2 linked regions of the Lepisosteus oculatus genome follow. The protein of the gene in region 1 interacts with the protein of each later gene in a pairwise test. Links are inferred from orthologs where the notes say so. Each region holds a gene or a part of one and is shown in the gene's direction. Other genes may lie near its edges.

The links.
Region 2: the proteins of dnajb11 (region 1) and ubr1 interact in a two-hybrid assay, tested with the Homo sapiens proteins (2 studies listed by BioGRID and IntAct). The link is inferred for Lepisosteus oculatus from reciprocal best matches to the Homo sapiens genes DNAJB11 and UBR1.

The regions. Positions count from the first base shown.
Region 1 is NC_090707.1:7,356,306-7,360,058, reverse strand, and holds the start of dnajb11 (dnaJ homolog subfamily B member 11), read left to right. Parts: upstream 1-836; 5' UTR 837-980; coding exon 981-1,054; intron 1,055-1,787; coding exon 1,788-1,944; intron 1,945-3,753. UniProt on the Homo sapiens protein: As a co-chaperone for HSPA5 it is required for proper folding, trafficking or degradation of proteins.
Region 2 is NC_090703.1:18,757,341-18,761,093, reverse strand, and holds the start of ubr1 (E3 ubiquitin-protein ligase UBR1), read left to right. Parts: upstream 1-1,300; 5' UTR 1,301-1,410; coding exon 1,411-1,455; intron 1,456-3,753. UniProt on the Homo sapiens protein: E3 ubiquitin-protein ligase which is a component of the N-end rule pathway. Recognizes and binds proteins bearing specific N-terminal residues that are destabilizing according to the N-end rule, leading to their ubiquitination and subsequent degradation.

The DNA.
Region 1 (3,753 bases):
CCCATGGCAACAGCTCCAGCGAGGGCCCCGTCTCCCCGACCGACATACCTGGCGCTCCCTCGCCGCAACACAACAGACACGCAAGCTTCACCTTCCGCGGACCGGCCCCGCCGTCCCGCTGAGGGCTGGGGGCTGGGGGCTCCTCTGTAAGTCTTAGTACACTTATCTGGCGACCCCTGTGCCCCCACAGGTTAATACGAAAGGGGTTTCTGTCTCTGTCCTGCTTAAAACAGCCGGCCGCCTCTCTCTTGCTTTTGGCGCCGCCGCTTCCTCGGCCTCGTGAGCGCGCACGTCGTCAGCTGGAGCGCGGGCACGAGCAGGAGGCGCTGGCTCCAGTCCTGCTTCCTAAAAAATTCCCAGCGCATTAATTAACCATCCGGCCTGATTCCGACACCGACTGCTTTAATGTCAGACAACACACACCGCAAGGTCGAGTCTTCCAACAGCACGCTTGCGGGGAAATAAATCGTTATGTTTAAAATGTTATTTCTAAGCTCTCAGTACGGGATTTTATCCACAGAAGCTGAGGCAGAGCGTTCCGCTCACAAAACTCGGACCGATTTAAAGTGTTGTGAAATGGGAGTCAGATTTGCTTGTGTTTTTTTTTTTTTACCAAAAGACTATAACCGTAACAGGTATTTTCAGAAAATTAAACCCGGTGACAGCTTTTATATCCCCCACCCCATAACACACAAACAAAAACGAATAGCTTCTGCTCAGCAACTGATTTGAAAGTAAGGCGCCCTTTCTCAAGAGGGCGGCGTGCTCAGCTGCCCAAGCCCAGCGCGCCCCCTGCAGGCAGGCCGGGGAGGGGCGGGGCCTTCGCGGGGGCGGGCCTTCCGGGCGGAAGCGCCGCTGCCGAGCCTGCGGGAGAGAGGCAGAGTGACAGGAGGGCCGGAGCGCAGAGGGGGAGAGAGCCGGAGAGCGGGCTGAAGTGGACAAATACAAAAACTACATAAAAAAAAAAACTAAACATCCATATGGCTTCCAGGGTACTGAGTCTGAGCAGCGCCTGCTGTCTGCTGCTGTATTTCGCGGCGGCTGTGCTGGCAGGGTGAGTCAACCGAGGCGCTTTCAGCGGCGCTCATACCGGCTGGTACACATGTTGCGCTGTGATTGGTCTGCCGCGGCTCGGACCCTTCCGCCGGGCTGGGCGGCGATGGCAAGCCGCCGCTTGTGAATTGCGGGTTTTGAGGCTGTTGCACTTTTTAACAGGCTTGCTGGCGGCGTGTCCCCGTAGGGGAGCTGGTGTATGTTGCACTGGTGTTGCCTGGTCGCTATACACGCTTTGAAAGGGCTGGCGCAGGGTCCGATGTACGCACCTCCTTACCTAACACACCGGTCCGTGCCCTGTTACATACTGGGATGCATCAGCCCGTTTCTTTAAAACTATCTCGTCAGTTTTTTTTTCAAATATATATATTTTAAGTGGGTTGCAAAACTGTACGCAGACGTTTCCATGAATGCAACCGACTCGGGGTTCCCTCTCGTTCGGGGTTCATTCGCTCGTGGGTTCGGTTTCCTTTCGGCTGACTGGAGGGAACACCAGCCCCATTGCGTGTTTCATGTCCGTCCCCTGCATCTGGGAGGGATACTGTGGGAATCCTGGAGTGTCCCTTCTGACTGTAATAAAGACTTTCCTGTGCGCGCTCTCAGAGTCTCTTCACACTGGACCCCACAGTGCTCGTCCAACAGCCCCGAGGGGTACAGGGGGGAAATGGAGCTGTCTGTTTCCAGCTTGCGTGTAAGCAGCCCTCTCCGTGGCGCTGTCTGTTCCTCGGTTCCAGGCGGGATTTCTACAAGATTCTCGGGGTGTCCCGGTCGGCGTCCATCAAGGACATTAAGAAGGCGTACAGGAAACTGGCCCTGCAGCTGCACCCGGACCGGAACCCGGACGACCCCCAGGCGCAGGACAAGTTCCAGGACCTGGGCGCGGCGTACGAGGTGGGTGAGCCGGGCCCGACTGGAGCGCGGAGTCCTGCTGCTCCTCGGTGCCCCCAAGCGCAGTGGAAACCAGTGAGCTGGACCTGCAGGAGGCTGCTGCTGGGGCACAAGGGGATGACCTGGTTTGATTTTGACACGTCCCTAGAAGCGTCCCTAACATTCCCGACGAGTGAGCCGCAGGAGGCCAGCAGGGCTGCCCCTGTAACGCCAGGGCCTGGTAGCTCATGGATATCACCGGTACCAGGAGTGCGTGTGTTGCTTTGTAAGGTGTTGGCATCATTTCCTTGAGCAATACGACAAACAGTACACAAACAACAAGGACATCCCAGCACAGTACAAGTGCAGCTCCCACCCCCAGCTGTGAGCAGGTGTTTAATAGCCTCAGCTGGCTTCTCACCTGCACTCAGGCAGAAATCAGTCTGTGCTGCTCTTGCTGAAATATTCACAGCAGGATTGCTGCCCAGTACCACACCCTGCTGTAGCAGTACGTGCTGTGACTAAAGAAGTCAATGATATGAATGCTAGTATATCAACTTATAATAAACTTTATTTTATATAGCTCCTTTAAAGGTGGCTTCTCAAAGAGCTTTACAGAACAACAACAATGAAATAAAAATTACACAAGATTTGCACAATGAGATCACACAATGAGAGGAGACAGTAGATGGGGGTACTGAATACAGTAGGATCAGGGGGTAAAGAACAGAACCAGTCAAGGAAAGGTGTTTCTGAAGAAGGTGGCTTTGAGTCTGGATTTGAAGGAGTTTAGAGAAGGTGGCTCTCTGATATCCCTGGGGACTTCTGCGGCGTTACTGTAACCCTCCTCTCTGGCTGGGTGATGGAATCCTTCCTGCCCTACACTTGCACTGGGCCCCGTCCAGTGATTTCGATTATATCACTCGATCTCTTCTTTCACTGCCTTGTCTCCTGTGCTATAGAGTGTTTCGGTTCAGGTTGTCACTGGAAATGTCAACTGGCTCAACGGGTTAGACAAAGGTCGGTGATTGCCCAGCAGGTCTGTGGTGTTTGTGGGGCCTGTCAGTGATCCAGAGGCTGTAGTCACACCTGGACTGTTCTGATTGGCTCAGCTGTTTCCTTCCTGCTGTCTCTCTCCCTCAGAGAACGGGGGTGGGTGGGTGGGGGTGTGTGTGTCAGTATAGACCCCGGAGAGAAAGACAATCGCCTTACTGGCATCTGGGCTACAGTTGTGTAATATTATAGCACCTTGTGTCGTGGACTATGCTTTTGTACAACCCACAGTAACATTAAAAGGAAAATCTGGGTCATGATACCCAGCAAGCCCTGAGCCTGAAACTCAAGCAGGTGTTGTTGTTTATTAGCTCCTGGGCCTTTTTTGGCAAGACAGACCTAATTAAATTGTCTTCCGAAGAAAACGTATGTGTAATGTAATAGCGTCCCTTCTGTTAGACCTGTTTCCTGAATCTTCTCTCGTTCGGTCTCAGTTGTCTTTAGCAACGTGTTTCGGTTGCAGCAACGTAAAATTCAAAACGTCGATGGCTTTTTCCAGAATCGCGCTTGACTGGGGCACGGCAGCTCCGTACCGGCATTAATTAGGTGTGTTTTGATGACGTTATTAATTGCACCTGCCGCGATGTGGAAGAGCTCGGGGCTCAGAGAGCACGCTGCCTCTCGTGAGCCGCTGAGAGTTCCTTTGTTGTTGGAAACGGAGGCCCGTCCTGATTGGTGGACAAGCATGTGTGGCCGCATGTGATTGGTTGAGGGGTGAAGGGGTGAAAGTTGAATTAGCCAGCTGTTTTAACCACGCGGCTGTCTGAGACGCCGGGACCG
Region 2 (3,753 bases), on another chromosome or scaffold:
CCCCAGAAAAAGGAGTGTGTGTGTGTGTTGTCCTGCTGGCATGTCGCTGGATGGTTTGATAAAATTACCTCATCATTATGCTTTTCTGTGTCACAGTAGCTGATGTGCCACTTCTGGATTCCAACATATATTTAATGTTGGATGTTCACTTAATAAGCAACAAGTCTGGCAAGTGATGTATTCAATATGACCTTTGAGGCTTTAAATAATCTGGCTCCTTCATGCATCTCTGAATGGCTTTATGTTTACACTCCTTCTCATACAGTCTTTTCAGTCGAGATCTTTTGCTCACTAAACCCGGGACTTAATATCACACTTTTGGTGACAGTGCTTTTTCTTACTCCATTGTTATGGAATGTCATTTCTTGTCAAGAGACACATTCTCTGTCTGTTTCAAATCTAAGCGTAAAATGCACTACTAGGGCCTATGAATAATTTCCTTGGGTTTGGAAAGGTGCTTTGTAAATTAACGTTGTTGTTACATGTATTATTATTTTTATTACTGATTTTCACCAGGTGAATTTGAATTAATCAAAATGATTAAAAAATAATAACAATTGCTTACATTTATATAGCGCTTTTCTTTACACTCCACTGAAAGCGCTTTACAGGTAATGGGGACTCCCCTCCACCACCACCAATGTGCAGCCCCACCCTGGATGATGTGACAGCAGCCATAGTACACCAGAACACTCATCACACTCCAGCTATCAGTGGGAGGAGAACAGAGTGATGAAGCCAATTCATAGATGGGGAATATTAGGAGGCCAATGGGACATTTGGGGTAACACCCCTACTCTTTTTGAGAAACACCCTGGGATTTTTAATAACCATAGAGAGTCAGGACCTCAGTTTTACGTCTTATCCGAAGGACGGTGCCTTTTTACAGTATAGTGTCCCCGTCACTATACTTAGACATTAGGACTCACATAGACCGCAGGGTGAGCGCCCCACTAACACCTCTTCCAGCACCAACCTTAGTTTTTCACAGGAGGTCTCACATCCAGGTAGTGACCAGGCTCACACCTGCTTAGCTTCAATGGGTTGCCAGTTGTGAGTTGCAAGATGATATGGCTGCTGGCAGTAAGAAAATAAACATTTAATCAACATCCAAAATCAGTATACTTCATTTTTTTTAATGACAAACATGCACAGTAATAGGCTTCTTTCGGTACTCAATATAGTTTCAGTTGTAGTAAGGTGAGATTTATGAAGTCTGTACCTTTCTACTTTTCTATTCCAGTACATGTCTCTAGAGAGCCTTAGGAGTATTACAGGCACTGGTATGTGTGCATGTTGCGTACAACCATGCCGTGTAAAGACAGATACTGTCGCTTGCCACAATGTCGTAAAGCAGTTTTGGGACCTGTCTCACACGTTGTCCTGGTAACAGATTACGGCAGATGAAAGATGGCGGAAGGTGAAGAGACATTAACAAAACGAGAGCTCAGTATGGTGAGTATATTTAATTTTATTTTGGTAATTTTCTACGTTTACTTATTGCGTATATTTCTTTTCTTCGATTTGTATACTACTTCGATACTAGCTTTTTTCTTTTCTACAAATACTATTCTTCTTACCTGGGGTTGAATTTTGGTTAGATTTCTTGAAGGAATTATAGCAAACTGCTGCAATTTAATTTTTCTTTTAAGATCTCAGTACAGGATTGGAAACAATAGATGACAGTGGATATGTATTTAATTCACAATGCATTGCTTTTCAAATAAAAGTGCAAGAGTGACACTGCCTGATCTCACTAGTTTAAAATCGACCTGAATCTTGGGTTTTATTGGTTTTTCAAGAGACTCAACAAGAGCTGCTTGTAGTTAATAACATTGAATAATATGGTAGTGATACTTGAAAGATCAATAGTATTCTGTTTGGAAAGGGACGGAAGTTTGTGGTTAAGTACGCTCATAGAAGATCGACATTTTAAAAATGTATATAACTTTTATTGATTGTTTTTGTTATTCTGTGGATTATAAGAGGAAAAATAGCGTGTGACAGTATTGCAAGTGATATATTTCATTATCATACAATGGAATAAAAACGAAACAATAAAACAGAAAACTTGGCGCTATTCATAAGAAAAATATGACTTTTTTCTTCGTTTTTTTTAAGTAAGCAAATCTTAGTTAAATTTATTGGAAGCATCTCAACATCTTAGAACTAAAACTCGGAAATTATTGTAATCATGAATTGCATGTGCTTTAATTTTTAATACGTAAGTCCCACGTAGACTAGACTTGAGGACTACCAATTAAACACAGAGTTTCACTTTTACTTTGTTTATATCAGTATTGTTTTCTGGATAAATCCAGCTTTACAAGGAAGCACACTTTAAGGACACTTTCTCAGCGTTTCAAAACTGTTGTGAAACATCTTTGAAAACTGACAGTACAAAGGTGAATTTCTGTGACATTTGTAAAATCTAAAGACCTAAATACAGACATACAAAGTTAACTAAACTAAGATTGTTAGTAAATTACTGAATTTACTAAACAGCTTTTTGAACATCATAATTTAGGATATACCTGCAGTGTCTTGGAAAAGTATTCAAGCCCTTTCATTGGTGTTTGATTTTTACCTTTTCATTGATGAAATTACAAAATGATGCCTACCAATTTCTTAAACTTAATATTCAAGATAAAGTAATACAAACAATGAAATAATGCATAAATATTTAGACCCATGAACTTAATATTTGGTGTAAGCATCTTTGGTAGTAATCACAGCCACAAGTGGTTTTGGGTAAGTCTCTTCCAATTTAGCACACCAGCTTTGTGCAATTCCTGCCCATTCTTGGCAGATTTGCTTAAGTTGTCTCATGTTGCTTTTGGATTACTCACAGACAGCAGCCTTGCTATTGATTCCTATTGAGTCAAGAATTCTATCGAGACTTAGACTGGGCTACTCAATATAGGGAATACACTTTCTAATTGCCTTTTTGGCCTTCTACTTTGGTTAATTGTCCTGCTGAAAGATGAATTTTCATCCCAGTTTTATGTCTGAAGCAGGTTTTCCTGTAAGATTTGCCAGTTCTTTGCTCCATCTCAGTTCCTATCGGATAAACTTCACTGTTTCTCTTGATGAGAAGCTATAAGACGATGCTGCCACCATCATGCTTTGCAGTGGGGGTGTTTATTGAGTGGTTCACTATGGGTTTGTGTCAGATGTAACACTGCATTTAGACCTGAAAAGTCAAATTCTGTGTTATCTGACAATAAAACTATTTGTGACATGTTTGCATTACCAGTTAAATATTAAGTTGAAAGGTTCTTGTGGTTTTTTAGATGTTAGTATGTCAATTCCATTCAAGGGTTTGTGGAATAACTGGAATATTGTTAAACTATGGACATTTTCTATCAACTGTCTGGTTGCCTTCACTTCTTAATCAACTTCACCATGCTCAAAGACATATTAAGGGCATATGTAATTTGAAAGACATATCATTTATACCTTTCTTCTGATTAGTGCTTTTGTACAACTTTAGGAGTTGATAACTCCTGGTCTTGATGGTTGGATTTTTCCTTGAAATTCACCACATGACTGAGGTATATTACAGCGTGTATTTATTCTGAAATCATGTGAACAACTTTTACTGTACACAGACTGAGATCTAAGGTAATTTTGTATATCTAAATAAATTAAGTTTGCCACACTAGAAAGGTTTTAAAAGTGATACAATCATTCTTTCATATTATTTACTTATTTTTGTTTTTGTTTTGACTGTGTGTGGAGTAGGTTGAAGAA